Linked DNA regions of Caenorhabditis elegans. The protein of the gene in region 3 interacts with the protein of the main gene of each other region in a pairwise test. Each region holds a gene or a part of one and is shown on either strand. Other genes may lie near its edges. The genes, in order: ina-1, ehs-1, src-1 and ced-2.

Region 1 (8,806 bases), on a different chromosome or scaffold from region 3:
TGTCTTTCTCTCTAAATACCTGCGTCTCTTCAATTAGCACACTCTTCAATGCTACCACTACGAAGCTTCCATTTTGTTTACTCAAACCTCAACCGGGTCAGGTCATCTTACCTTTGCTTCGGCTTCTTCCACTTTTCTTTATACGGACCTTTTTTCTGTAAAATCTAGGAAAATTATTCTTGACAGAAAAATAGTTTTTTAAAAATTGTGACTCACTAGTCAGCTTTTATGATTTTGTGAATTGATTTTGTTTTCGTTTCAAATTCAATCAGTGATTATGGTATTTCGAAAAGTTTGATAAATTTTGTTACAAAACTTTTACAAAAACTTTACCATAAGGAAAGTTAATAGTAAAACATTTCTAGAAATTGCCACCATTTTTTTTTGGAATTTTAATAAATTCGACATCTCGAATGTTAAAAATGTTTCAGATGTAGTGGATATTTTGGTTTGAAACATTCAAATTTTTGGAATGTTTTGAAATTTTCAGAAATTAAAAAAAAAGAAAACTCTCCATCTTTTCTCTAATCAAAAATAAAAAAGGTTCTATGAATTTTTTTTGGTAATTTATGGGCAGTTGTCGGTTCTCTCTGTTTCACCCGTCACACTTCTTCCAATTTTCATATGCAGATTTTAGACGGGGGGCTTTTGCAATTTCTTTTTACGCAATTCCATTCCTTCTTTCCTTTTTCTCAGCTTTTTACTCAGTTTGTGTTCCATCTTTTTTTTGGAATTTTTCGGTCGCAGTTCAAATCAAAATCTAAACTCAATTTGGAATAGTCCTCATATTTTGAATTTTCATTCAAATTTTTTCGGAAAAATTCTCAAAAATTCTTTTGGTGACTTTGTCTGTCATATCCACTTGAATACCGCAATGGATACTGACATTTCAAGGTTGTATGAATGTCCTCTATATGTGTTGGATATAGATTCATATGTATGCATGTTTTGGTTTTTCATTGTTTCTTATTTCTGTATGCGTCACCTTTTTTTCATCTTTTGTATAATGTTGGAGATTATGCAAGCGATATATTATATAACAATTGTATACTGTGACGGAATTATAATGGATTTGAAAGCTAGCTTGACTATCAAGACTGTGAAGGTTGCGTAGAATTATTTTTTCAACGTTTCAAGAAATTTATGATAGAAACTACTGGCAATCTCTAATTTCCTGTCATTTCCAGCAATTTTCAAATCTACCTATATTTTGAAAATTTAACAAATTTCACCTTGTTTTCTATTATCCAGATAGTACTTTTTTGAAGAAAATCTTTCAAACCGGTGAGGTTTAAAATAGAAATTTTGAAATAAAATATCGAAATTTTCCATTCTGAATCGTGGTAACTTTCTGTACTCTCAAATAGTTTTAAGACGTTTTTCTCCAACAAATACTTGTTCTTCGAACGATATTCGAGCTTAAGACACAACGCTCCATATATATCTAGACTCCCCACTCCCATAAATTGAGAACCGCAGTACTGCTTTATAGTCTCGGAATTTCTGTTTTGTCTGGCGAATCGGAGGTTTTGTCTGGATGAGTTAATTGAAACATTCATCGTGCTCTTCTTCTCCGCTTCTTCTCTTCTTTTGCTCTTCCCGTCCGTCACTTGTATACTAAAAAGAGCAGAAAACGCAAGAGAGGCACACGTTTTGCTTCCATTCTTCGCACCCAATTGAATGCCTTCGCGTTGTGCTCTGAATCTTTTTTGCAAAAGAGGAGAAAGAGTGTTCACATATCTGATGAATTGAGAGTGAGCAGCGGGCTCCATTTTCACTTTTTTGCCGTTTCTAGCACCATATCTCTCCAGGGGATCGCGTATCAAAAATTCTCAGAGCGGTCTTTTGATGAAAAGCATCTAATTTGAAGTGGCCGGAAACTTATTCATTGGTTAGCTGGGAAAGTTTTCCTTTTTTTCGGAATTGTTCAGAATTAGAAAAAAAAATCTGAAACTCAATAGCGAAATTTCTGATTAGTTCATACATCATTTCACCTAGGATTAAGCATACTTTCTACAAACCGAAAACCACGAATTTATTTACAACTAGCCTCTTCTTCTGTATTTGTAATTTTTATTTCAAATTTATCAGTAAAAATTTTGGAAGTATTCCAAATTTTTAATAAACTAATTCTTTTTTCCAGATTTGCAGCACTGCAATTTTCAATTACAGATAATTTAAACATGAGTAAAATGAAAATTTATAGACAAAATCTTTTTTCTGTTGAGTTCCAAAAACTTTTTGACTATAGAAATTGCAAAATTATTTTTTAGAATTTTTTACTGTGGTGTTTGTTCATTGTGCATTAAAATAATTCTACACAGTTTCCAGTAATGCAAGTGCAGTTTCCAAAAAAATTCATGAAAAATTTACTGATCTGAACAATCAATTGATAATATACTAAAAATGTACATGTGTTGGCATTTTGTCTCATAGTCTATTCCTCTCTTTCAATATAATTCTCTATCATGCCCATCAATTTAATGTGTTCCCCTCGCCGTGTCGTCTGTGATCGTTACATTTTTTCCATATCATATCAAGGTCTTTCATCCTTCTAGTTCCCAATTTCACGATTGACCAACAGTTACGGGGTCAACAAGGCGGACTTTCTTTACCAAAAAGTTCTAAAAGTGCATCTTATGAATTTTTGAGAAGATGGCTCTGCACTTTCTGACAGATGCACACCACCTGCGTCTCCAATTTCATTTCGACCTTCTTGATTTCAATTCTATCAATTCAGTTGATATGAGTCACACCGTGTGATTCATCATTATATAAACCCCCGCAAAAACAATTAATATAAGTTTTTTCCCGTTGATCTGAAAATGAAAACACCTCTGGTGTGTAATATTTTTCAGATTCTTCTTTTCGGCTTTTGCTCCATTTGCTTTCATGTTTTACGATTTTTTGGAAAATTTTTCTCTAAAAAAATCTGGATTTTGAACTTTCCCTCTTTCAGCTGTCTTCTTGATTTTGTCCATTTCAAAATTCAACTTTCTAATTCCCAAATTTTCAGTCATTATTCCTCGAACGTACATGAGCAACAACTAACAGAACGAGAGAAAGCTCACCCGCCGAAACATGCGTGAATGTATAATTAGCTGGACACTACTCCTATGTCTCAGCTGTGTCAAATCGTTTAATCTCGATGTGAATGCTCCGATCTACAGGTATGGTCCCAGTGGGACCAACTTTGGATATTCCGTTGCTGAACATTTCAAAGGGGATAAGCCTGTGTAAGTAGATTTTTTTTTTAATTTCATCACAAAAAACAGTAAAGCTTGAGCAAAAGTTACTCAGCTTATGTTAAGGCTTAAATTTAGGTTTAGCCTTATGATTAGGCCTAGTCTCAGGCTTCCTGCTAAAGTTTTGCCCAAGCGTGATAGTTTTAGTTTTTGATGAAAACAGCGATTAACGCGTTCTTTCAAATTTCAGAATGCTGATCGGAGCTCCACGTGGCGAGTCTGGGCAAACGGGTACCGAACGAGCGGGTGCAATGTACGCGTGTGATATTAACACATTTTATAATGGTGGATCAAATCACTGGTGAGTACACATTTGAAAGAATGAGAGATATGAGGGAACGACTGATGATTGATGAGAATGAATTCAGGTGTGAACAGGTGCGATTTGAGTATGAAAACGTTGAGGATTATGCGAAACGACCCAACGAAACACGTGGCAGAACGGTGCATCCATTGGGAAAGAATGATCAGTTGTTGGCCTCAACGATTGTTTCGAAAGGAACAAAGAATGGTAGTGCTTTGGTGAGTAAAAAACTTTAATTTTCTGTGTTTAAAACCTTGGGATTTTGGCCTCTGGTGCTCCTTGCGTACTCACAGTACTCTTTATGCTTTCTGAATCAAGTATTTATAGGTGTGTGCTCCATTAATACGTTACCATCAAACTGCTGCATATCCACAAGGAGCTTGCTATGAACTTGAATCGAACCTTCGTCTTCAATCAACATACGCAACTTGTGCTCAAAAGAATCTTCCAACAACAGATCGTCACAACGAGTATGGAGGATGTATGGAAGGATTTTCAGCAGCAATTACTCAGGTAATTTTCATTCAACAAATAGAATGAAATCACTGAAGTTTAGTTTTGTGTTAATTTTAAAAAGATATTTTGATGAATATTTTTGAGTCGAAAGCATTTTTTAAATATTGCTAAAATTTTAGGATACCATCGTGACCGGACTCATTGGAGCTGTAAAATGGACTGGTGGTGTTTTTGCAAAGAAATCGTCAGCAAACATTTTCGATTCAGTCGTTGAAAAATACACAATGAATCAACCAAATGGAGATATGATTCGTACACGATTAGTTGCACATGATTATCTTGGATATTCTGTAGATATTGGAAGATTCGGTTTTTGGTATGAAGATGGAAAACCGATAACCGTAGTCTCAGGAGCTACAAGATACGGAGAACATGGAGCTGTAATATTCCTCCCGTTTATTCAAGATTCAAGTTCAAAACTTACTCTGAATGAAGACAAATTTATTATTAATGGAACTGCAATGGGATCTGCATTTGGGTATTCGATTGAAGTTGTTGACTTGAATGGAGATGGATTTGATGATCTAATTGTTGGAGCACCATTTGAACATCGATCTGGAATTGATGGAAACTTTGGAGGAATCGTCTATGTTTACTTTTCTCAAGGAGTTCAGAGAAAACAACATGAATCTCATCTAGTCTTCCACCCACCAAAGATTCTAAAGAATCCAGATTTCTACTCACAATTTGGACTTTCAATTACTAAATTGGGAAATGTAGACGGAGATAAAAGTAAACTCAACGACTTTGCAGTTGGTGCTCCATTTGCATTTGATGGAGCTGGAGCAGTTTATATTTATCTTGGAACTAAAAACATTGAAAAGTTCCGAAAGAAACCGGCTCAAGTGATAAAAGGAAATGATCTTCCAAATCTTCCGCCAGGTGGAATGAGATCATTTGGATTCTCACTTTCTGGAGGTTCTGATATGGATGAGAATGGATATCCCGATCTTCTCATTGGATCTCCTTCGAAGAATTTTGTTGCATTGCTTCGTTCTAGACCAGTAATAAGTATTGAGACCAAGCACAAAATGGAGAAGAGAATGGTTGATATCGACAAAGGTGTCAATTGTCCACGTGGAGCAAAGACTTGTTTCCCGCTTGATATGGTGATCTATGTGGATGAGGAAACAAAGAGAGGCGCCGAACTTGTCGATTTCTCATCTGATGTATTTATGTGTAATCTGGAAGCTATTCCATTTAGAGCTGACACAACGGCAAGAGGATTCATTGAAGGAAGTCATTCACACAATTATAGTTGGCCATGTGGAAGTAATAGTCACGTACAGAAACGAACTTACCGGCAGCTAATCTATTTGCCAGTTCAAGAATCAAAAGATTGGATTACACCTTTGAAGTTTAGATTTACTGTCAGCATTCGGTAGGTCAAGTTGTCTCGAAATCCCTTGAAAAAGTTGTTTCCTAAATTGTATTGTTAGACTCAAAACTCAAAAACCATGATATCATAATCAGAACTCAAATTCTCACATTTCAGAAACGAAAAGAAGCCTGTGCAACCACCACAAGGAAGCCAATTGGTCGACTTGAAGCACTACCCAGTCCTCAACAAATATGGTGCATCATATGAGTTTGATGTTCCATTCAATACGCTTTGCGGAGAAGATCACACTTGTCAGACTGATTTGTCATTGAAAGCCGCCTTCAAGGATATTCCACTGTAAGACTTTAAGATATTTTAGCGCTCAGAACTTGTGAGACAGCACTGTATTTACACCGAAAGTTTTTTAGAATATAGTAATCAAACTTCTTTTTTAAAATTCCAAATCAAAAGTCAACCCCACGTATGTTTTTTGCTTTCAGAACATCAAATGGATACGTTTCAAATGTCGGCGAAAAGGATTATCTGGACTTGACATTCACTGTGGAAAACAAGAAAGAAAAGGCTTATCAAGCGAATTTTTATCTAGAATATAATGAAGAAGAGCTTGAACTTCCACAAGTTCAAGGTTCCAAGAGAATGATTGCTGAAACAATTGGAAAGAATATTGTGCATTTGCCACTTGGAAATCCAATGAATGGAGCATCAAAACATCAATTTACGATCCAATTCAAATTGACTCGTGGAAGAACTGAAGGAATTGGAAAGGCACTCAAATTCATGGCACATGTCAATTCCACGTCACAAGAAACCGAGGAAGAGTTGAAAGATAATAAATGGGAAGCTGAAGTTCAGATTATCAAGAAGGCAGAGCTGGAGATCTATGGAATCAGTGACCCTGATAGAGTATTCTTTGGAGGAAAAGCAAGAGCAGAGTCTGAATTGGAATTGGAAGAAGATATTGGAACAATGGTTAGACATAACTATACAATTATTAATCATGGTCCATGGACTGTTCGAAATGTGGAAGCACACATTTCTTGGCCTTATCAACTCCGTTCTAGGTTTGGAAGAGGAAAGAATGCTCTCTATCTATTGGATGTACCGACTATTACAACAGAATTCACAGATGGAACAAGTGAAGTTAGAAAGTGTTTCATCAAACAACAGTACGAATATGTGAATCCTGCAGAAATTAAATTGAACACTAAATATAGTACTCAAGAGACTGCTCCACATCGGGTAGAGCATAGAATGAAAAGAGAAATTGATGAGGATGAGGAAGAACAATCAGATGATCTAGGAGCCGTGGAAGAGAATATTCCTTGGTTCTCAACAGCTAATTTCTGGAATCTTTTTGCAATTAAAGGAGGTGATGGACGACCTAGAGAAGTTAAACATTTGGTAAGTCCCTAGATTACAGTTTATTTGATTGATTTTTGATAAATGAATATTTCAGAGCTGCCAAGACAACACTGCCAATTGTTTCACCGTCATTTGCCACTTCGATTTCATCGATGCCAATTCTGCAGTAGTCATTGATTTACGTGCAAGACTCTGGAATGCAACGTTCATTGAGGATTATTCAGATGTTGAAAGTGTGAAGATCCGATCGTTCGGAAAACTTCAATTAGACGAATCACAAGGAATTGATGACGATCCGAATAACAATGCAGCTTTCGTTGAAACATCTGCTGATCCTGATAGGCCTACAATTGGTGGGTTTTTTGAAATGAGACCAACTTTAATATCTAATCATTTTAAAGTGATATACTAGTACGAATGTATTCATAAAAAATCATTGTTGAGGATATTCTAGCTTTAAAAGACATGCTCAAACCCCCAACTTTACCTTAATTTTTTCAGGAGACTCTCGACCTATCCCGTGGTGGATATACGTCATTGCAGCTGTTATTGGTGTTCTCATTTTGTCACTAATTATAATTTGTCTTTCAAAATGTGGTTTCTTCAAACGAAATCGTTTGGATCAGCCATCATTATACACTGCTCAACTCAAACATGAACGAGAAGAATGGGCTGATACGGGACTTTAGATGCCTCTTTATTTCTTTTTTCGACTGGATCTCTGTGATGTTTTATTCACTTTGTTTGTTTCCATTTATGTGATACCATTTTCCTGTTTTGTTCCCTCAATGATTTTCCTCCCAACTTCACTTTAAACATTTAAGTTTTTTTTAAATATTTAAATGTATGACATTTTTCAAATCTTGTAGTCAAGTTTATTGAAACCATCTTGACAAATATTTCACCGGTGCCATTTTCATGTTTTTTGTCAAACAAAAAGTGCTATAATTATTAATAAATTATTTTCAATTCCCTCATTCAAATTATAGAAATTGTGTATATAAATGAAATTTTTTAAAAAATCAGTTATCGTCATTTGTGGACTGTCGTTTGAGAAGCATCCAGGAGCTTCGTTTTCGTGGAGCTGCAGCTGTGAATAAAAAGAAATTAATCGACAACTCGAGGATATGACGAAACTCACCAACAAGCATTTTTGCTTGGTTTTTGTGTGTGATTTGAATGATGCAAGGAGGTTGCATCCATGGTTCCCCGTCAATTTGCATGGGAAATGATTTGTGTGTTCTGGAAATGAACAAAATTTTTGTTAAAGTAACGGCATTACAGAAAACCATTTGAAAGTATCAGAATTACTCAAAAATTGATTTTTTTTTTCAAATTCAACGATGTCCTAGTTATATTCCCACATTAATTCCATTTAAAAACTAACTGAATCACAACAGTTGAACATTGAGAAAGCCGTCTTGCTCCACGTACACCCGCTTTAATCTGTCCCATTTGCATTGCTGACTCCAATCCAACTAACTGAAACTTTTGGTTTGTTTTTGGAAGGATTTCATCTTAAACCTCAATGAGACCATCTCCAATATCTTGAACTCTTGTCTGTAATTGCATTTTCTCGGCATTTTTCATTGGGAACAGCCCAGGCATTCTTCCTTTAGATTTTCGACTCCTTCCCCATAAATTAGATCCTCCGTAAATTGATGGAATATTCAAAAGAGCAATTCCTTCAAGTGATGCATCTTGTCCAAGATCGATTGATTCTCCATCGCACTGAAAATTGGAAGTATTTTACTATAATATTTTTAAGAACTTACCAAAATATCAATTTGCTCGTGTAAGTTCTTGCAAGAACTTGATAGGGTCTCACTTGTACCTAACTCAAAGTACCACAACTTGTTTCGCATCCGGCTATTGAACTTTTCAGGAAACTTTTCTCTCATCACATGGAATCGGTGAGCAATTGAGGCGTCCTGAAATTTTTTTTGTATTTTTTTATGTTCAAATTTAGGTTTTTGGTAAGATTATTTAGTTTTTCAATAAAATATTTAAAATAACTCACCACTCCAATAGAAAAAT
Region 2 (7,117 bases), on a different chromosome or scaffold from region 3:
CCGTTTAAACCAGGAAAAATACATACTTTTACAATATTTCATCAGCTATTTTTTTACGTTTTTAAGTGTAAATTATTCAAAAAAAGACTAGTTTTCTGAAGTTTAAACAAGTTCCTGATGATAATAAGTCAGTGTAAAACTACCAAATATTGCAAGAATAATAGGGATTTCAGACACCTTTTCAACTGAAGTGTGATTTAAAGAAGGAGTTAAGTGCCAATTCGCAGAATTGGAGGAACTTTTTTTTATTTTCGGCTGATTTGCTAATTTGCGAAAACGTTGGAAATATTTTTTTTATAGCAAGACACTGAATGGTGTGTATTCTTGAAATTTTTTCCTGTTTTCTTCAGATATTTTTAATCAAATTTACTCATTTTTATATCAATTCGAGAAACCTAGAATATGTCCAGTTTTCAAGTTCAAATCCAAATCTCATTCAAATCTCAAAAATTTCAACAAAAATTTTAAAAAACAAAGTTTGCCAAAAGTTTGAAGTTTCAGCAATAGCAGAATTTCCGTTTGCCAAAAAATATAGTACTATGTATAATTTTCTGAAATTCTAGAAATTCCGCCCAGTCGGGGCGCAACGGAAAACTGGACAATTTACATTGTAAGGGGTCATAAATTAATGAAAATTTCTAAAAACGATTAATTTTATTTTTATTTTCAAAAATATGATAAAATGTAAAAGTTCATTAAAAACGTCAAGACCAAACCACCAACATGAAGAGACTTGGAGTTGATCCACCATGTGGAGTTCTCGACCCAAAGGAAGCTGTGCTGTTGGCTGTTTCGTGTGATGCATTCGCATTTGGACAGGAAGACACCAACAACGACCGTATCACCGTCGAATGGACTAACACTCCGGATGGAGCTGCCAAGCAGTTCCGCCGCGAGTGGTTCCAGGGAGATGGTATGGTTCGCCGCAAGAATCTGCCAATCGAATACAACCCATAGGTTCCTTGTAAAATAAATATTGTTTAATGCCTGTGTTGTTTCTTTCTGTAAATTGAATATATATACACTTGTCGCTTATCCTCTAGATCAGCTGGCTTCGTCGCTTCGTTGTTTCTACAGATATTTCTTGCAAGAATCTTCCGATCGAATACAACCCATAGAACTTCTAAATAATTTTTTTCCTGATTCACTGGTTGCTGATTTTATAATTTGAAAAATAATATTGTCTACCATGTTTCCAAATTTCAAAATATGATATTGTGATATACGAACTTTCTTTGAATACTTTGTTACAGAACTTCCTCGCATGTATCATTTTGAGAAGAAGTTGTATGTTCGAGAGCCGTTTCTAGAGAACTAACAGAACGAATTTTTTAGATTTCAGAATTATCAACAAGATCATATGCAATGCCTTGAATTCATAGATAAGAGATGATGAAAGATGGAGCTGACTGCATTTGAAAGAACTTTCATTTTATCTATCTAACAATCTAACAATTATTAATAAACAATTATTCATTTTCATTGTTGTGTTTATCATTCGATTACTCGGAAAACATTTTTATTGCTCAAAATATATATTTTTCTAGCTAACTGGAGTAGTTTCAAAATTGCCATTCGGTTCAGGATAGGCGGTTTCAGGCTTACTTTTGTTTAATTAGTCCCAGGTCTTCGAAACTCAATGTTTTATTGTGTCCTGTGTTTCCCTTGATTTTCACTAAATTAATTCTGGGGACATGAGAAGGTAATCTTGGAAAATTGAAATAAACTACAGTACTCCTCAAAGACACGATTTTAAATTCAAAAAAATCAGTCGTGTCGAGACCCGGTACCGTATTTTGGGTGTTAAAATCGGAAAATTTCGCCAATGGGGATACGATAATTTGAGTTTTATATTCAAATTAGATGTATGATATAGGAAAACATTCCACTAACGGGTGTATTTGATTTATTTTGCTTGTATTTACAAATAATATATTTCGAATGCTCGCCTGTTTCTTGATATTGTCCTCGTGTTGTTCACGGCCGAAGTTTTTCACAATTATCAATAGAGCGCTTCTGAAAACTCGTCCGCGACAGTGAAAATTTTAATTTTCAGAATTAATTGTTTTTAATTTAACGATTTTAATTAATTCTCTCATTTACTGTTGCAAGATTTTTTAATGCTATCTGTTGAATATTTAATTTTATCACTATTTTCAATAATTACGATGTAGACGCTTTATTTGCAATATATATTGCAAACAATATTACAATATATATTGCAAACAATATTGCATTATACGCAGATTATTTTCTCCCGTTTTGACAGAATAAAATTAACTTGACAATGTGTGTGTAAACACAGTGACGACAAACTGCGACAATGAGTCATTCAGGTTTAGTCTTTTGCGAATTAGTTTATTTATAATAATTATATATTATAGGGTTATTGGGATATTTTTTTATCTCACCGTTAATGAAAAATGTTAAATATATTCCTGTTTCAAAAATTGGCTACAATTTAAATCAATATATTTGTTTTGTAATCATTATCATAGAGGGCCGGGACTCTTCCCACTGAAACTCAATACTTTTGCATATTTCACATTCTCTTCCTCCGTTGGTTCACCAAAAGAGAAAAGGGACCGACATGAAAAGGAAACGAAAGCTTAAAAGAGACGGAAAATCGATGTACTAGAGTGCTCGGAAGTAGTTGAGAGGCGCAGAGAGAGAGCTTTCATTCAGAAGACACACGACGTTATTCCTCGCAACGCCTTCTTCTTTTTAACAATCTTCAATACATTTTAGTGAACTTTCTTTTATTTCTGTTTCATTTAAAAATAGTCTTAAATTTCACTATATTTAATTTTTTTCTTTTATTATCTGGAATGTTTCAGCTTTCAACATGGATGATTCATACGCGATAGCTACACCGCACAATGATGTTTTTAATCACGCATTCGCAGAGGTAAATATTTAACAATTTGTAATACGTTAACAATTGTTATATTCCAGATGAACCCTCACGGAGCACCAAGAATAGGAGCTGCAGAAGCAGCTACTTTCCTTAAAAAATCAAACTTGGCGATGCCTGTGTTAGGCCAGATATGGGAGCTTAGCGACTCTCAAAAAGTTGGATCATTAGATAAGAGAGGAGCATTTGTTGCTTTTAAACTAGTCGCAGCTGCTCAACAAGGTAACTTTTATTACCTATTTGGAATCATATTTTGTTGAAAATACGATATGCTCAAAAGTAACCTTAACAGCAAAATATTTCAGGGAAGCCCGTCGCCAATTCTTCCCTCTACGATTCTTCCCTTCAGCCACCACGGTTTGCACCACCTGTACCACCAGCAAACATGCAGCATCATTTCCAACCATCGTTCCCATCGGTTTGACTGAAAAGTGGTTCCTCTATTTCTAAGTGTTATTATTCAGGTTGGCCGTGCTCCTCCAGTGCCACCACCACCACATCCATCACATCCTTATTCGATCTCTTCTCAACAATCTTCTCCAGCTCATCCATCGTCAGCTTTTCCACCACAATGGCCGATAACACCAACTGACCAGGTAGCAAAAACTGAGAATTAAAAACTTTTAAAAAATCTTTCTATTGGCACGAATAGAGAATTGACAGTTATTTTCCTTTACAGATTTGATCAAATATTCTTGTAATTATTTCAGGCTAAATATGACTCCATCTTCCAATCATTGAATCCTGTAAACGGAAAATTGTCTGGTGCACACGTACGCCCGGTTCTGATGAACTCTGGACTTGATGCTCATGCTCTGGCTCGAATTTGGGAACTTTCGGATCAGGACAAAGATGGAAACCTTGATCGAATCGAAATGTCTGTTGCACTTCATCTTGTATACCGATCACTTCAATCAGACCCGGTTCCTGCACAGCTCCCACCAAATCTCATTCATCCTTCGAAAGCAATGTATGCTCACAGCTCACCGAATTTCGCTGCTCCTCCACATCCTCCACGTCCGATGATGGGATCGAGAGCAGGATCTGTGACGTCATTGGATGATGTGAACATGAGTCAATCGTATTCTGCAACGATGCCACGTGCATATCCACCACAACCAGGTCGTGCTTACTCTGCACAGGCTCATGTGAATGGATCACGAACCAGTGGTGCATCAACTCCGATATCTGCTTCTCACTCGATTCACTCATTTCCTGCTGGTGAATGGCCTATCAATACAGGAGATTATGCTGATCAATTTGCTCAAACTGATACGAATAAGGATGGATTGGTTGATGGCATGGATATGAGAGCTCCCATGATGACTACTGGATTGAGTGCACAGATATTAGCACATGTCTGGGCATTAGCAGATATAAAAAAATGTGGACAGTTGAATTTGGAGCAATTTGCTTTGACGTAAGTCTTTCAAGTTTACCAAATATCTAGTGTAACTAAATATTAATTTTCAGAATGCATCTTCTTGACATGGCAAAACGAGGCGAGTCCATCCCATCAGAACTGCCTTTACATCTGATTCCACCTTCATTCCGCCCACCTACGGAACCTTCAGCTTTGCATCATCCTGCTCAATCAGTTTCAACTCCACAGCTCCCAGAAGCAACTTCGATGGAAATTAAAGAAGCTTTGGAAGGCGAAAACGAAGAGATGAAGCAGCTCGCAGAGTCTATTCAATCAATGCTGGTGGAGCGGAAAACTGCAGAAGAAGCTGTTTTACAACTAGAAGCTGATATGACTATTAAGAACTCGAGTATCAAAAATCTGCAGGTTGAATTGGCCACCTTGGAGTCGACAGTTAAACAGTTGGAGCGACAAAAAGGTGAAGCCACACGAAGATTAGCTGATTATGATACTCAAATAGAACAGTTAGAATCAGCATGTAAAGCACAGAAAGAAACGAAAGAAGATACCGAGAAACGAATGCAACAAATTGATGAAGATGCAAAGAATGCTGAGGACTGTAAAGCAAATGATGAAAAAGAAATGGAAGAATTGAAAAAAGAAATTGAAATGCTCGATAATCAATTCAAAACTGTTCGTGGAGAAATTGTCAAAGAAACATCACAAAGAGAGCAAAAGGTGGCCGAATTGACAACTCTAGAACGAAAAGAAGCAAGAGATCAGATACAAATGGAAAAGCTGGATGCTGCAATCGAGAACACGACAAAACTAACAGAACAAGTATCAGATGCAGTCGAAAAATCCGAGGAGGAAATGGTTCAAATTCTGAGGTCGCAACAACGATTATTGTCTACTGTAATCGATCAATCGTTGCTATCCGATGACACTGTTTATGGAGAAACAGCTGGAACATCATCTCAAAATCATGTTCAACAACCACCTGATCCGTTTGCATCCGCCAGAGCAAGTAGGTTTATATTTTTAAGAAACAAAAAGAGTTATGAAAACTTTTATTCTGACTTAAAGTTTTGAAATATGAATATATAACATAAATTCAATTTCCAGATCCTGCTGCTGATCCATTCGCCCAAGTAGATCAGTTCGGCTCATCTGGACATTTTGATGCCGCTTTCCCAACTGATCCATTTGCTCAAGGAGGCTTCCCATCGGATTCTGGCTTCGCACAATCGGCTCCCGCAAAACCTGCTCCACCTCGCCCAGCTCCTCCAAAATCTGCTCGCGAAACACCTGTCAATGATCCTTTTGCGTAAGTCTTAGTGAGTATCAATTTATTTAAAGTCTAAATAATTTCAGCCCATCACAAGGACAATCAACTCAACCGGCTGGATTCGCTGATTTTGCGGACTTTGGATCGGCTTTCAATTGATTTTTAATAATTATACCTTACCCACTATAAGCCCCAACGCCAGTCAAATTGTTTTACTTTGCCCAAATGTTTACCTGTGCCAAGTCATCGACATAATTTATTGATGCACATTTTTAAGATTAGTTTTTTTGCACTTTCCCACTTGAATTGTCACTTTTCTAGGTTATGAAATCAGAGCAATAATGTTATATACTGTAGAATATGAATATGCATGATTATTATGTAAATTATGAGTTATAATATATAGTAAATGATTTGCAGATTAATTTTATGTTGCGTATTTGATATTTTCAGTCTCATGTGTAAAAACGGAGCACAAGTAAACGGGTTGAAGGGGGGGAAGTAAACCGTAAAAGAAATTGATAAGGAAAAAGGAGAATCACAGAAGTTTGAAAATAATAGTGAAAAAGTTGTGTGAAGAAGACATAATTATGCTAGAAATCGAAAGAAAATACAGATTAGATGTACAAGAATGTTCGTGTCGGATTTACATACAGTGGCCAGTATCCTGAAAATAATAATCGCTATATTAGAATTTATTTATATATTACTGTTTACCTTCAATTGTGTCAAATAGAGTTGTCGTTTAGTTTCTATAGTCTTCTGAGGGAACGGATTCAGTTCGTTGAATGCCACTTGAGCTAGCGACTTGAAGTCAATGATATGTTCTTGAGCTTTGCTGAGACATTGATGAACTGTGCCTGAAAATTCTTGTTAAAAAACTAATAAATTTAAAGTTGTAAGTCACAAACCAATAGTTTTACATTGAAGAACGTGAGGTTCGCATATTTTGAAAAGTGCCAGTGCGAATCGAAAAAGAACCTTATTTCCTTCATAGAGGAATGCATCGAATATAGTCAGATAAATAGAATGCGGGAGTACATCTACAAAACACGTCAGGAACCAACTGAGCGCGAAAAGTGAAAGATCAACTTCAAGAGCTCTCAAATGTGCAGCCAATTTTGGAAGCTTTTCTGCTACAAGATCGCGGAGAACTTTCTGATCGGCAACCGCTCCGATCAGTGAGCTAGTGTAATATCCTTCAGGTTGGAGATGTTCCACACATGCTACAAGGAACCAGAACGAATCCTGCTCATCCAGGTTTAACAGAGCAATTGCAGCAAGACGATTGAGTCCTTGGCAGTAGCCGACGTGAGAGTTATGGTATCGGAAGGCGTAGAGTACGTTTCGTAGTTTTTCTATGTTAGCAGAATCTGGCTCGTCGAAAAGTTTATTCGTGGGCAGAGTTCGAGCGAGGTCAAGATCAATCTGAAAAAATAATATGAGAAACTCGAATTTAGAATAATATAAATATACCTGTTTGATGGCTGCATCGTAACTTCCATCCTGCTTCTTTGTTCCAGCCTTTCTGAGCATACTTTGATAGTATCCA
Region 3 (6,771 bases):
TCGGATATTTTCTTAATAATGAATTTATCAATAAGTATTGATGTAGTTATTCTGGAAGAAATGTATCCAAACCAAAGAGTAACTATTAAGCAACATTTTAATATGATAAAATTTAGAAAAATTCTACAAGTTTTCCTTACCGAGACCTTAAAACTTATTCGCCGAGCAACATCGGATATCGGATATTACGGATATTACGGATATCGGATAATGGACTTGCATATCGTTTATACAGAAAACTTGTAGAATTTTTCTAGGTTTTATCATATTAAAATGTTGCTTAATAGTTACTCTTTGGTTCGGATACATTTCTTCCTGAATAACTACATCAATACTTATTGATAAATTCATTATTAGAAAATATCCGCTCACCTCTGCTTTAAAACTCTTCTCACAAATAGTCCACTTTAATTATTCTATTTCAGACTAATTAATTTAATAGAGGTTTAGTGCTCTTAATCTGTGCTCTTTTTTTTGTTGATATTCTTGCAAAATTTCACTTATATAATACTTCAAACCACAAAAAAAAACAATGCAACTCACTCTTCACTCTCAATAGTCTGTTGCTTGGCAACAAAATTCCTCGGCACATAACCAGTCTGTCCGGTTCGTTGGTGTCGAACATACCACCAATCACAATTCGAATGATCCAATAGGTACATAGCATCGCCTTTTTGAAAGCTAAGATCCCCGTCGGCACGTGAATCGTATGGATAGAGGGCGACCAGAGTCTCACGTTCCTGTGCTCCTCCTCCACCACCACCACCACGTCCATTTCCCATCATTCCGTCTGATGTTCCGTTTAGTTGAGAGATGGTTCCCTCGTTTCCACCGTTATTCACGTGGAATACTGTCTGTTGTTGGGGCGTTTGGAATCTGCGTGGATATCTTTTTGGGTAATGGGGGAAGTGTACGGAAAAAAAATGGAAAAATAATTAAAGGTGGAGTAGCCACTGCAACTTTTTCCTCACGAGGGACGAGGAAAAGTGGTTTCTAGGCCATGGCCGAGGGGCCGACAAGTTTCAGCGGCCATTTATCTTGCTTTGTTTTCCGCCTGTTTTCTTTCGTTTTTCATCGATTTTTTTCGTTTTTTCTTAATAAAACTGATAAATAAATATTTTTTGCAGATGCTAAAACAATTTCCAAGTAAAAAAAATCATGTATTCAGTGGGCAAGCAGCGGTGAAAGTGGTCGATGTAATATGATGGATTACGGGAATACAAAACCTAAACGTTTTCTGAAACATGATACATATGCTGCTTAAATGCTGAGACTACCTGATTTTCATAACGAGACCGCTGAAAAAGTTTAGAGATTTTTAAAATTCAACATTTTGTGCGAAAATCTCTACTTTTTCACCAAAAACAATTGAATTTTGAAAACCTCAAAACTTTTTCAGCGGTCTCGTTATGAAAATCAGGTAATTTAAGCATCTAAGCATCATATGTATCATGTTTCAGAAAAAGTTTAGGTTTTGTATTCCCGTAATCCATCATATTACATCGACTACTTTCACCGCTGCTTGCCCACTGAATACATGATTTTTTTACTTGGAAATTGTTTTAGCATCTGCAAAAAATATTTATTTATCAGTTTTATTAAGAAAAAACGAAAAAAATCGATGAAAAACGAAAGAAAATAGGCGGAAAACAAAGCAAGATAAATGGCCGCTGAAACTTGTCGGCCCCTCGGCCATGGCCTAGAAACCACTTTTCCTTGTCTCTCGTGAGGAAAAAGTTGCAGTGATGGGGTCACAATGTCCGAATACCATGATAAAAAAATTCAAAAAAATTTTATATGATTTTTTGAAAATTAAAAAATGGTAAAAAAAAGATTTTTGCCTAATAATTCCTATTTGAATTTTGAATTACCCCCAATTGGATTTGTTCGGTGGAGCGCCGCGCTTGCACATTTTTTATTTTTATTCATTGTTTTTTTTTTTATATTTTCCACCGATTTTCCATGTTTTCAGTGTATTTTTGTCTGAAATTTGAAGAAAAAGTCGAAATAAATGCTAATTTTTGATTAAAAAGCTACTTCACAAGCGTAAATCTTTGAAATTAATTAATTCAGGTTTCGAAATCGTCGTTTAAATGCTTTTTAATCGAACATTTGCATTTATTTTGACTTTTTCTTCAAATTTCAGACAAAAATACACTGAAAACATTGAAAATCGGTGGAAAATATAAAAAAATAACAATAAATAAAAATAAAAGCGTGCAAGCGCGCTCCACCGAACAAATCTAGGCAAAACAAAAAATTAGGCAAAACTGAGATTTTTTCAATTTTCAAAAAATCATATAAAATTTAGAAATTTTTTTTTGAATTTTTTAACCATGATATTCGGTCATTGTGGTATCATAGGCATGTTTAAAAGCAATTTCCCCACTGGCGCTACTCCACCTTTAAAAAAAATATAATACGCGAATTGACGCGTTGTTAGTGCATTTTTAGGTGGGCAAACAATCAAATTTTTTTTATAGAAAAGGAAGTACATATATGAACATTCTCATGTGCATTAAAATTGAAATATTGAATGTTTAAAATTATTTAGTGCTCACTTTTTCCGAAAAAAAATATATATAAATAGAATAATCTCAGAAGAAAAACTATGGCATCATTTTTGCCCAAATAGATGTCTTTAAATGTTTTTAAAAAAAAAGATATATATATATATATATATATATAATTTTTTAAAGACATCGTTGGCATCTAATTGGGCAAAAATGATGCCATAGTTTTTCTTCTGAGATTATTCTATTTATATATTTTTTTTTTCGGAAAAAGTGAGCACTAAATAATTTTAAACATTCAATATTTCAATTTTAATGCACATGTTCATCTTAATACTATTTTCATTTTTAGGCTTAGAAAACAACATTGGCCTAAAAATAGCCTAAAAATAAAGCAAACTTTCTATAAAAAAAGACGGGACAGAGAAAATGATACATTTTTAAATTCTATACATTTTTTCCAAAAAAATACACTCGAAATTGTAAAAGAGTTCAGTCTCGATTAAAAAATTCCAGAAAAAAAAATTTCTAATAAAAACATTTACTACAGTAGGGATCTCGTTTTTTTTTTCAAAATTCTTTGGAACTCAGTAATGTCAAATTGCCGGAATTTGTTGGGATCGGGCACTTACTTGCTGAGAAAATGCCGAAAATCTAACAACTGTTGATCACTGCCGAATTATCGAAATGTGAAACGGGCAAATTTTCGGAATTGAAAAGTTCCGGCAAAACGGGGGATTTCCGCTCACCACCATGTAAATGCATAAAATATCATGCTTTATGTAGATTTAGAATAGCTAAATTTCCTATTTTAATTGAAAAGTCAATAATTTATGATTTTTTATCGAAAAATCAATGATTTCTAATTTTTAACTAAAAATCAATAATTTCAAATTTTTACCAAAAATTAAACCAAACCGGAAAATCGGTTTTTTTTCAAATCTGTATTTAATTTTTGCACTTTTTATCTAAAAAAAAAGTTGATTGTCTCCAAAAAAATAATACATTTCTCTATAAAATAGTTACCTGGAGACATCTATCCGTTCGGAAACACCCATATCACTGCCTCCCGATCGCCGCTCTTTTGAAAACAGGCAACCCATTATTTATTCTGAAAAAAAATTATTTCAGGAAAATGTTACTGGGGTTGCCTCGTTCGTTCGGCAAATCAGCAAATTGCCGGTTTGCCGGAAATTTTCATTTTCGGCAATTTGCCGGTTTGTCGAAAAATTGTTTGTGAATTTTTTCGTTTTTTTTTTTTAAATTTTTTTAACTGAAAAATCTCTGTCAATTTAATTTTTTTTTGACATTTCCACAACTGGAAAACTGCAAAAAAAGACTGTACAAGCAGAATTTTCAAACAAATTTCAAAAAATTTGTTAATTTTAATATATATTAAAATTTACAATTTGCAAATATCACGTGGTGCCAGCCTGTCCCATCACGGTTTGATCTACAAAAAATGCGGCAATTTTTTGCCCAAAAAATGTGACGTCAGGACGGTCTTAACCATACAAAATCAGATGAGAAGTCAGCGTCCCGTTTTCCCGCATTTTTTGTAGATCAACGTAGATCAAGCCGAAATGTGACACTCTGACACCATGTGAAATACTTGAATCGTCGCGAAATTCAAAAATTGTCAGGTTTTGTAATTTTCAGTGAAAATTTTCTGAATTTTCCAAAAAAACTCACACAAGACACCAGTATTTTTGTGCAAACAACAATTATTGAGCATGCATATGGAATGGTTGCTTCTTCTTCTTATTTTCGAGGTTTTTTTTCTGAAAATGAGGAAATTTTGGCGGGAATTTGATTTTAAAAAAACGAGATTTTAGAGGAAAAAGTGAAAATGGAGGGGTAGTAAATATGTTTTAAATAAACTCTGACGCTTGGAATTTATTCAGAAAAAACGCGAAAATTATCAATTTTTTGAAGAAATTTACAATATTTTCCCAACAGAATCAGTATTTTTGTATTTAAAGGTGGTGTAGTTGAATTTTTTTTTAAATTTCTTTAATATACTCAAAATTGTCTGAAAACATCGAATTTCATAATGAAACTTCTTGAAAACTTCTCCAAATACCGTATTTCCTCTATTAGTTTTGCACCCCCTCAATTTGTTCCCTATGTTTAGGAATTCAAAATTTGCATAATAAAATCGTTCTAAAAATTAGGAAAACTCTTACAGACTTGGTATGACAAGTCAAAATTGACAAAATATGAGTACAATTCGGACAATTTTTGCGTATCAGTCGTAAAATTCGTAAATTTTCGATCATAAGTTGTTATTGAAATTGATCATAACTTAATGGAAAACATGAGAAAAAACCTGTTCGAAAATTAGTTTTGCATCAAATTAGGTGTCCGAAAATTAGTTTTGCATGCCTTACTAATAGAGGAAATACGGTAAAAGTTATGGCGGCTCAAAAAATGGCCTAAGATAAGTTAAATTTTGAAATTTGACCGACTTGTCAAGCGGCTGGAAATTAACTTTTTTGAATTCACCGTCAAATTTTGAGTATACAATGTAATTATCCTGCGTTTTCAACTTCATTTAGGTATTATAAAGTCGATGGACGGCGAAATTTGGATAAAAAATTTAAAAAAATGTCGGCCATTTTTTGAGCCGCCATAACTTTTACCGTATTTCCTCTATTAGTAAGGCATGCAAAACTAATTTTCGGACACCTAATTTGATGCAAAACTAATTTTCGAACAGGTTTTTTCTCATGTTTTCCATTAAGTTATGATCAATTTCAATAACAACTTATGATCGAAAATTTACGAATTTTACGACTGATACGCAAAAATTGTCCGAATTGTACTCATATTTTGTCAATTTTGACTTGTCATACCAAGTCTGTAAGAGTTTTCCTAATTTTTAGAACGATTTTATAATGCAAATGTTGAATTCCTAAACATAGGGAACAAATTGAGGGGGTGCAAAACTAATTTTCGATTAGTGATTTTAGATGCAAAACTAATGGAGGTGCCTAACTAATAGAGGAAATACGGTATTTGGAGAAGTTTTCAAGAAGTTTCACTATGAAATTCGGTGTTTTCAGACAATTTTGAGGCTAGCAAAGAAATTTTCAAAAAAATTCGACTGCACCTCCTTTAAAAAAACTATTTTTTCTGATTCGGATCAAAATCGATATTTTTCGGTTTTTTTTTGTTAATTTTTCTATTTAAAATCCACTTTTTTTTTCCGATTTTCTTTTTAAAAAACACGAAAATCTGAAAATTGTGACAAATTTTTGTAAAAATCTTTAAAACAAATTTAATTTCTAAGAAAAAATTGTGTGAGTCACACAAAGATAATTTTGTTTTTTGAAAAAAAAAATGATAGTGTTAAACGGGAGGGCGAAATAGTGTAAATGACAAGAGGATTAGAGAAGAAAAAGTGGAAAAAAATGTGTGTAAGAGTTGAGGAGAAGGGAGAAATGGAATGTGAGAAAATGGAAGGTTTCCGTTTTTTTTTTCTCGTTTGAAAAGTTCATGAGAAAACGGATAGATTTTCCAGAAAAATGGGAATTTTGCCGTTTGAGAACTTCAGGAAATTGCCGATTTGCCGAAATTGCCGGAAATTTTCAATTCCGGCAGTTTACCGGATTTTTCTGAAGGGATTGTCTTCCGGCAATTTGCCGATTTGCCGGAAGATTTCAATTTCGGCAATTTGTCGATTTTCCGGAAATTTTCAATTCCGGCAATTTGCCGATTTGCCGGAAATTTCCAATTTCGGCAATTTGTCGATTTGCCGGAAATTTTCAATTCCGGCAATTTGCCGATTTGCCGGAAATTTTCAATTCCGGCAATTTGCCGATTTGCCGGAAATTTTCAATTCCGACAATTTGCCGATTTGCCGCCGACCCCCGGCTACAAATACTGGAAAGTGCCGAAGTGGAATAGAATATGGCAAATTCCAAAAAAAACTTGAAACAACGCAGAAAACGGAAATTTTGGATTTATCGGAGCTCCGCGGAGCTCTCACTTCAGAGTAATAACCGAAATAATGCTGGCAATTTGAAACACCCACGTTGTGTCAGAGTGTCTCACTTCGGCTTGATCTACGTTGATCTACAAAAAATGCGGGAGAAGAGACGCAGGGTTCGGTGACTTGTGTATTATTTCCCCTCATTTTAATATTATCCATTTTAATAAAACGTGATGATGTCCATTTTCCATCTTTAGGCTTAGAAAATGGAAAAAAAAAACCTGACAATTTTTGAATTTCGACGATTCAAATATTTCACATGGT
Region 4 (8,687 bases), on a different chromosome or scaffold from region 3:
ACATCTCCGTTCAACTTCTTGCTCGCCAATACATTCCCCAGCGTATTCGCACACAAATTCGCCGGCGGCTATCTGCTCGCCGGCTCGAACTCCGAATCCTTTTGCCATCTCACAAGTGCTGAAAATTTCCAGCTTTTTCTGTGGTCCACATTGCACAACTCGATTCCTACATGAAGTTGGGAGCAGTATGCAGGCACATTGATCGGAGCACTCGATTAGAAGCTCCGATGATTTATTGATTTTTCCATCGACAGTGTAATTATCGATTTTATTGATTAGACACGAGCAACCGGCGGCTGAAGAGCACTCAGCCTCGCAGTTACATCCTTCGAATACGTCATTCCAGTCGGTTTCAGAGATTCCTGGCCCGGGAATTGTGCTATCAATTTTCTCATAATTCATTATCTGAAATTTGAAATTTTTGTAAGTTTTTAGGCGGAAAAACAAAAAACTATCAGAAAATTGTCGAAATTCGAGAGAAAATCCATTTTTCAACATTTTTCCACGAAAAAAATCCGGATTTTTTCGCATTTTTAGGCGGAATCTCAGACGAAATTCGGAAAATTGTAATTTTTTTTGCCTCAAAAATTCGAATTTCTAGGCGAAATCTGCGAAAAAATGTTGGTTTTTTTTTTCACAAAAACCGTTTTTAACTAAAAAATTCACAAGAATTTATAGCAATTTCAAAGAAAAATCGAGAAAAATACGCCGAGCTTTCAAATTTTTTTTGTGATTTTTTCATACAAAATCGGATTTTTTTCTTGCAATTGAATGGAAATCTTGAAGAAAATTGTTCAAAACTCTGAAAAAAAAACTATAAATTATCTGAATTTCTAAAAAATTAAGAATTTTAGTGAAAAAATTCGGAATTTATCACATTTTTAGGCGGAATCTGTAACAAAATTATCGAAATTCGGGAGAAAATCCAGTTTTTAACATTTTTCTACTGAAATCCAAAAAAAAAAATCAAATTTTTCACATTTCTAGGCGGGATCTCAGACGAAATTCGGAAAATTATATTTTTTGCCCCAAAAATTCGAATTTCTAGGCGAAATCTGCGAGAAAATGGTTCAAATTTGGGGAAAATCTTTCAGCTTTAAGAGGAAACGGCGGGTTTTCAATAGAAATCTGAGAAAAAATCGGCAAAATTCGATAATGTGGCTTTAAAATCTAAATTTTCTGAAATTTTATTTTAAAAAACTGCACTAAACCGTTAAAAATCGTTTATAATTTAATTTTTCAGTTAATTTTCCCGTTTTTAAGTGAAAAATAGCTTGAAAAAGGTTTAAATTCGACAGAAAACAGAGTTTCTCCAAAAAAAAAACACCGCGTAAATCGACACAAGTTTAAAGGCGCAGTATGGAGAGTGAAAGGGTCTCGCAACGATGGCCCGGGGTATTTGAATTTTTCATAAAATAAAAGTTTTTTTCGTGAAAAAATGGCAAATTTGATCAAAATTTGTTGTTTTTTCGTGAAAAACAGTCGAAGTTCAGAGAAACTTTCCATTTTCCAGTTGAAAATAGAAAAAATTGACCGTTTTTTAGCCTGAAAAACCAGAATTTATTGCAATTTCAGAGAAAATTCGAAAAAAAAAGGCCGAAAATTCACCAAAATACGTCGAAAAATCGGATTTTTTTGCAATTTGCTGGAAATCTTCAAGTAAATTTTCAAAACTTTGAAAAAAACTCCAAAATTATGACATTTTTTTCTTAAAAAGTACTCTCAGAGGCTCTATAGCACCTCATTTTCCAACAAAAATTCGAAAAAATCATAATTAAAACGGTTTATTAATCATCCGGCAGGTTGAAAGGGAAAAGTGAACAAAATGGAATGGACACGAATTGGGGTTCGGTGGGCGGAAAAGGCAACGAAAATTGTGCATGATATCATTATAAATATAATTTGGAAAAAAAAACGATTTTTTTCTATGGTAAAGCTGTAATGTATTAGAGGAAAACTGGTGGAGGGGCAAGCGAATCAATAAATTTCAAGGTTAAAAATTTAGAAAAAAAAAACGATTTTATTCGCTGACGGCGGTGAATCTGAGGTATGTATGAGGCACCGAGCCAATTTGGCCGTCGAGTTCCGCTTTGTACATTCCGTTGGACATTTTCTGAGTTACAAGCACTGTTTGCCCCTTTTTCACACGCAATTGGGTCGGATCGTAGGCGTTTGGGACACGATCGAACGTCACTTTGGCTTTTGCTGGCAGACGGGGCTGAAATATTGAATTTTTTTTTCGGTTTAGGAGATGTTTTTCATGATAAAAATCGTTAATAATTTCATTTTTCAGTTAATTTTGCAGATTTTAGGTGGAAAATAACTTGAAAACGGCCTGAAAATAGAGTTTCTCCGAAAAAAAACACCGCGTAAATCGACACAAGTTTAAAGGCGCAGTAGGGTTGGTGGAAGGGTCTCGCAGCGATGAGCCGGATTTTTAAATTTTTTGAGAAAAAAAAAAAGTTTTTTTAAGTAAAAAGGTCAAAATTGATCGAAATTATTCGTTTTTTTTTGACAAAAACAGCCGAAATTCACTGAAATTTGACATTTTCCAACTAGAATTAATAAAAAATCATTGAATATTCATTAGAAAGATGGAAATTGACTGAAATTTCGCATTTTCCAATAGAAAAATCTAAAAATTGGTGTTTTCCGTGAAAAAATGTCAAAGTTGCCTGAAATGCTTCGTTTATTCTTGGAATATGGTCGAAATATTAGGAAATTTTCGATTTTTCCACTAGAAATGTTAAAAATTGACTGAAATTTCCATTTTTTTTTCAGTGAAAATTTCAAAATATGACCGAATTTTCACTAAAAACGGTAAAAATTGAGCAAATTTTTAAAGAGAAATTTCAGATCCAACTTTCCCATTAAAATTCTGTAATTTACAAGGAAAATCGTCTCGAAATTCGAAATTTTCCCATCGAAAAATGTCAAAAATTGACTAAAAAACGCAATTTTTCAGCAAAAAATCTGAAATTTGTGGATTTTTCCGGCAATTTTCCACACCTGGAGCTCAATATTATCACTGCTCGTGCTGGCGCTCGAAAATCGTTCGGCGCCACCTCCGCTGCTTCCGATCGACGATTGACTGGCGCCTTTTGAGGTTCTGTCATTGTGAAATTCCATCTGAATTTGTACATAGTTTGCCGGCACTAATCCAGTGGTTCCCAACGCGTTTCTCGCCTCCCACCAATCCTGGTTCGTTTTTGCTGGAAAAAAAAAATTATTAAAAATCTAGTATTTTCGAGGAAAATTACCGAAAAAAACTTGGAAAATGCACAAAATCTTGAGAAAAACGGGAGAAAATCAAAAAACACGGTTTTTTTTTCAAATTTTATGGTTTTTACAGGTAAAATTTCGTATTTCCATTATAAAATTCGTTTATAATTTTATTTTTCAGATAATTTTGCGGTTTTAAGTGAAAAATTGCCTTAAAAACAGTTTAAATTCGTCCGAAAATAGAGTTTCTCCAAAAAAAAACACCGCGTAAATCGACACAAGTTTAAAGGCGCAGTGGGGTGGGTGGACAGGGTCTCACAACGATGAGTCCGGGTTTTTGAATTTTTTCATAAAATAAAAGTTTTTTTCGTGAAAAAATGGCAAAATTGATCGAATTTTGTTGTTTTTTCGTGAAAAACAGTCGAAATTCGCAGAAACTTTCCATTTTCCAGTTGAAAATAGTAAAAATGACTGAAATTTCTTGTTTTCATTAGGAAAATAGTCATAATGCACTGAATTTCGCATTTTTCTACTAAACCGGGTTAAAATTAGGCGAATTTTGTAGAAAATCGCATTTTTCCATTGAAAAACGTAAATTTTTAACATTTTTGCGGCTTTTTGGATTAAAAAAATGTGGAAATTTACCAAAAGTTTCTGGTTTTCTTGAAAAACAGTCAAAATTTACCATTTTCCAATAAAAACAGGAGAAAATGGGTGGAAATTTACTGAAAATTGCTCATTTTCTCACTAACATGGTAACAATCGGAAATTTAAATTTGCCCATCGAAAACGTCAAAAATTAACTAAAAATCTCGATTTTTCGGCGATTTTAATTGAGAAATGGCTTGAGAAAGTGGTAAAATTTGGCAAAACTTGGTTTTTAATAGTTTTTTTTTTGCATTTGGCTTCAATTTCCCCGAATTTTCAGATTTTTTAATCGAAAAAGTGCTCTTAAAGCTCACAAAGAATCTCGAGCCGCTAAATCAGTGGATTTTCGGGGATTTCACGAGAAAACTCATTTCTCGTAGTTTAAATGGCATTTTCCGAACCTTTGGTCTTTCTTCTCTAAGAAGTGCTCGAGATTCCAGAAATTGATTTTTTTTCCAGAAAAAAACGTTATAATTGTGAGGAAATCGACATTTTTTCTTGCATTTGGCACTATTTTCTCCGTATTTTTAGATTATTTAAAGGTGGACTACGCTCAGTGGGGAAATTGCTTTAAAACACGCCTATGGGGTCACAATGACAGAATATCATGATTAAAAAATTCAAAATTTTTTTTTATGATTTTAAATGATTTTTTGAAAATTGAAAAAATCTCAGTTTTCACCTAATTCCTATTTGAATTTCCGCCAATTGAACTCGTTCGTTGGAGCGCGCTTGCATTATTTTCATTAATTAATTCTATTTCTTCTCATTATTGGACTGATTTTCTTCATTTTTTGTGGTTTTTCATCGGAAAATCGAAGAAAACAACAAGAAAAATGCAAAATGATTTTTTAAAAGTAACTGAAAATGCGTAAAACTGTAAAATATACTAATTTCAGGCTTGTCGTTGTCAGAACTCAAGAAATCACAGTTTTAGAAAATTTCAGTTAATTTTTAACAAACAATTTGCATTTTTCTTGTTTATTTCTCTTCCATTTTCCGATGAAAAACTCCAAAAAATGAAGAAAATCAGTCCAATAATGAGAAGAAATAAAATTTTGAAAATTAATGAAAATAATGCAAGCGCGCTCCATTGAAAAAATCCAATTGGCGGAAATTCAAAAATAATTAGGTGAAAACTGAGATTTTTTTTCAATTTTCAAAAAATCATATAAAATCAGGGAAATTTTTTTGAATTTTTTAATCATGATATTCTGTCATTGTGGCCCCATAGGCGTGTTTTAAAGCAATTTCCCCACTGGGTCCGCCTTTAAAAAATCTAAAAATTCGGAGAAAATAGTGCCAAATGCAAGAAAAAATGTCGATTTCCTCACAATTATAACGTTTTTTCTGGAAAAAAAATCAATTTCTGGAATCTCGAGCACTTCTTAGAGAAGAAAGAACAAAGGTTCGGAAAATGCCATTTAAACTACTAGAAATGTCAATTTTCTCGTGAAATCCCCGAAAAATCCACTGATTTAGCGGCTCGAGATTCTTTGTGAGCTTTAAGAGCACTTTTTCGATTAAAAAATCTGAAAATTCGGGGAAATTGAAGCCAAATGCAAAAAAAAAACTATTAAAAACCAAGTTTTGCCAAATTTTACCACTTTCTCAAGCCATTTCTCAATTAAAATCGCCGAAAAATTGAGATTTTTAGTTAATTTTTGACGTTTTCGATGGGCAAATTTAAATTTCAATAAAGCAAGTTCCCCACAGGGTTTAGTCCACCTTTAATCAAAAAAGTGCTGCTTTAAAGCTCACAAAGAATCTCGAGCCGCTCTCCTTGCTCAAACGGAAGATCTGTCTCTCGTTCCCCTGTGAATTTGAATGTTCCGACGACAACCTCAATGATAGGCTTCTTGTAGGCGGCCAGCAGGCTTGCCTCAGTCAAAACTCGCATTTTAAAATGATTCAACAACGCCGGAATGTCTGGAAACGACTGATTCGCGATTTTCACGCCAGCTGCAGCAGTTCCATCTTCTTTCGGTTCTCCTCTTTCAATCAAATAATGACAAACGGCATTTCCCTCGTCGGCTTCACGTACTGTCAGTGAATATTCACCGGGGCGTGAGCTATCCCGCATTAGGAAGGTGCCGATCGATACTTGTGGCTCGCCGAGCAACTTGTGAGCCTCTTCACGGCTCATTCCTGGGAAGTAGAATGAACGCCACTCGAATGGATCGAACCCGTTTGTCGTCATTTCTGAAAATGCGGGAAATTGTTTAGAAACGTGGAATTTTTAGGCGCGCAAAATTGGTCAAAGTTGGGAAAATTTTCTGGAAAACGTAACCCAAATAGACGGAAAATCATCAAAAATCACGAGAAATTCCTAAAAATCCAGAAAAAAAAGACGAAAAATCAAGAAAAATTATATAAAAGGGGAAAGTTTTTTCGGCTGAAAAATGCTTAAAATCTTGTTTTTGAGAGCGAAAATTTATGAAAATCGGCCAAAAATCACCATCTTTGAGAAGAAAACGCAAAAATCTTCAAAAAAAAAATCAAGAATTTCGTGGGAAAAAATATTTTAAAATGAATAAAAATATGATTTTCAACCTAAACATTGCTGAAAATGTGAAAAAACGGGTGAAAATTCGATTTTTTAAAGGAAAACGAGTCAATATAGGCAGAAAATTGGATGAAAAAGTTGGAAATTGAATAATAATTAGCGTGATTTTCCAAGAAAATCAAGGAATTTCCATTTAAAAAATTCAGGAAATGAACAAAAATGGATGTTTTTTTGGCTGAAAAAATGCTGAAAATCAGTTAAAAATCGGCCAAAACTTGCGTGGAAAAATCAAAAAATCAGGAATTTCGTTGGAAAAGTACCTTAAAATGGCAAAAAATAAGATTTTAAAGAAAGAAATTGCTGAAAATCGTGGTTTTGGCACAGAAAATCTAGTAATTCTAGTGAAAATTTCTGAAAAATAAATGAACATTGGAGAAAATGGTACTTTTAGGAAGAAAAATCGATTGGACACAGTGAAAATTTTCAAATTTTGGTAGGAAATGGCGAGTTTTAGGGAAAAAGAGGGCAAAATAGTTGAGTTTTTCGGCTAAATTATGGGAAAAATGAAGAATTTTTTTGAAAAACTGTGTTAAAAAATTGGAAAACATGGCGAAATCGAGAATTTCGAGCAGAATAAGCAGGTTTTTAGGCTAAAGTTCGGTTTTTAGTAGAAGAAAATTGAAAAATACGCTTAAAACCTTTATTTTCGAATATATTTCATACTAAATTTACCGATTTCTTGTTTTTATACGCATTGAAACACCAATTATTCGTAAAAATGAGGAAATTGATGAGCAATTTTCCCAGGCAATGACTCATAAGCTTCTTGTCGACTGGAGCCAAAGTTTACACATTTTAAATACGTATTTTACGATGCGCAACCGCAAAAAATCAAGAAAATCTCCGAAAACTGGTGAGAAATTGCAAACAAACGACTTTTTTTGCACGCAAAAATAAATTGTCAGCTGTTGCGCTTGTCCGAGAGGAGTACACGATGAGGTGTGCGGGGGACTTGCAACACGCGACCCCGCCCACTTTTCCGCGCCGCATTGCAATTTGAATTCGGAATTTTGCGCGAAAAGTTGCGTTTTGCGGGAAGTTTTCCGGGTTTTTTACAGTTTTTTGCTATAATTTTCAAGTTTAAAGGTTAAAATATCAAAAATCACTCAAAATTTTCCGACTTTTTCAGCAGCTTTCCATCCTCCGAGATGAGTGTCTCGTTTATGGAGTTGGGCTCGGCCGACTCGGCAGAAGCGGCGGCGAACAAGGTGGCACACCACGTCGAGCAGATGATGGAGACATCGGATTTCTTCGATCGCCTCACACAACACGGCACGACGCCCGTCTCCGGTCTCGGCGAGAAGTTTTATGTGAAGGGAGCGCCGGAGTTTGTGAGCACACGGCGAATCCCAATACCCGGAGAGCTTCAAATGCAAATGAGCAGTGAGAGAGCATTGTTTCCGATGGGGGGGTTTTTCAGCGAAAAATTGGTGAATTTTCAGATATTCACAGCGAGTTTAGCATGGGATTCTTCACACAAATCAGCCGAGTTTGGGTCGTCATTGATAACAATCTCTATATGTGGAATTACGAGACAAAGTAAGCGGAAAAGCCGAAAAATACCGAAAAAAAATCGAATTTTCAGCGACGATTTGGCGTTTTTCGACTCATCAGACGCTGCAATTCTGAAGGTGTCGCTGGTGAACATCAAGCCAGGCGTTTTTGAGCCGGAAATTCAATATGGGCTCGTTGTCGGCACAATTTCCGATATATGTCTTTATCCGGTCTTTGATTTCGTGGAAAATGGCGCCAGTAGCATTTCTATCGACTCAAAACGATGCTTCAAGGTTCGAAATTCGAGTGAAAATGGAGAAAAAAGAAGGAAGAATTACCAAGAAAACCCAAGTTTTTGAATCAAAAATCGCAAAAGTTTGGAGATTTTGAGTCTTCAAAACACGGGAAAATCGATGTTCCGTGCGATTTTTACTTAAAAATCGACAAAAAAAATTTAAACAACGGGATTTTTCGTCTATTTCTAGCTCAAATTTGCTGATAACGCTTTTCTGTTTTTTTTTCTACTCGAAAACTTGAAAATCCGAGTTTCTGACTAATTTTTTGAGTCTTCAAAGCAATTTTACATCAAAAATGCTCATTTCAAACCAAAAATTGGGGATTTCGATAATCTTCAATTTTTATTCGTTTTTTTTAGAACAATTTGTCGTTGAAAACGCTCATTTCAAGCCGAATTTTCGAAAATATGTGTTGTTTTATGCGAAAATCTCCAATTTTTCATTTATTTTCCGATAAAAAA

The links.
Region 1: the proteins of src-1 (region 3) and ina-1 interact in a two-hybrid assay, tested with the Caenorhabditis elegans proteins (one study listed by BioGRID).
Region 2: the proteins of src-1 (region 3) and ehs-1 interact in a two-hybrid assay, tested with the Caenorhabditis elegans proteins (2 studies listed by BioGRID, with this or other methods).
Region 4: the proteins of src-1 (region 3) and ced-2 interact in a two-hybrid assay, tested with the Caenorhabditis elegans proteins (one study listed by BioGRID).

Annotation. Positions count from the first base shown.
Region 1 is NC_003281.10:9,167,013-9,175,818, reverse strand, and holds ina-1 (Integrin alpha ina-1), read left to right. Parts: upstream 1-3,016; 5' UTR 3,017-3,081; coding exon 3,082-3,236; intron 3,237-3,435; coding exon 3,436-3,546; intron 3,547-3,613; coding exon 3,614-3,767; intron 3,768-3,876; coding exon 3,877-4,062; intron 4,063-4,184; coding exon 4,185-5,446; intron 5,447-5,560; coding exon 5,561-5,743; intron 5,744-5,886; coding exon 5,887-6,808; intron 6,809-6,863; coding exon 6,864-7,122; intron 7,123-7,270; coding exon 7,271-7,458; 3' UTR 7,459-7,746; downstream 7,747-8,806. Other genes in the region: dgk-3 (putative diacylglycerol kinase 3), read right to left, coding at 7,792-7,859, 7,911-8,011, 8,157-8,251, 8,294-8,500, 8,545-8,700, 8,790-8,806. UniProt on the Caenorhabditis elegans protein: Plays a role in cell migration, axon fasciculation, and morphogenesis. During gonad morphogenesis, involved in distal tip cell (DTC)-mediated guidance of gonad elongation, in maintaining their sharp tapering morphology and in their migration.
Region 2 is NC_003280.10:5,817,875-5,824,991, forward strand, and holds ehs-1 (Eps15 (endocytosis protein) Homologous Sequence), read left to right. Parts: upstream 1-2,837; 5' UTR 2,838-2,845; coding exon 2,846-2,908; intron 2,909-2,955; coding exon 2,956-3,136; intron 3,137-3,219; coding exon 3,220-3,332; intron 3,333-3,378; coding exon 3,379-3,510; intron 3,511-3,624; coding exon 3,625-4,334; intron 4,335-4,387; coding exon 4,388-5,304; intron 5,305-5,402; coding exon 5,403-5,604; exon of another isoform or gene 5,605-5,651; coding exon 5,652-5,724; 3' UTR 5,725-5,988; downstream 5,989-7,117. Other genes in the region: ZK1248.4 (MSP domain-containing protein), read left to right, coding at 724-957; tbc-2 (PH domain-containing protein), read right to left, coding at 6,212-6,232, 6,283-6,425, 6,477-6,993, 7,042-7,117.
Region 3 is NC_003279.8:1,564,454-1,571,224, reverse strand, and holds the start of src-1 (Tyrosine protein-kinase src-1), read right to left. Parts: upstream 3,617-6,771; coding exon 3,540-3,616; intron 889-3,539; coding exon 544-888; intron 1-543. UniProt on the Caenorhabditis elegans protein: Non-receptor tyrosine-protein kinase which plays a role in endoderm development by controlling spindle orientation in EMS blastomere, probably downstream of receptor mes-1.
Region 4 is NC_003282.8:1,594,703-1,603,389, reverse strand, and holds ced-2 (Cell death abnormality protein 2), read right to left. Parts: upstream 6,073-8,687; 5' UTR 6,071-6,072; coding exon 5,632-6,070; intron 3,213-5,631; coding exon 3,010-3,212; intron 2,219-3,009; coding exon 2,021-2,218; 3' UTR 1,769-2,020; downstream 1-1,768. Other genes in the region: putative histone-lysine N-methyltransferase set-23, read right to left, coding at 1-402; npp-8 (Nucleoporin_N domain-containing protein), read left to right, coding at 7,585-7,819, 7,879-7,975, 8,022-8,223. UniProt on the Caenorhabditis elegans protein: Required for cell migration and engulfment of cell corpses but not for programmed cell death/apoptosis. Has a role in the migration of the 2 gonadal distal tip cells (DTCs).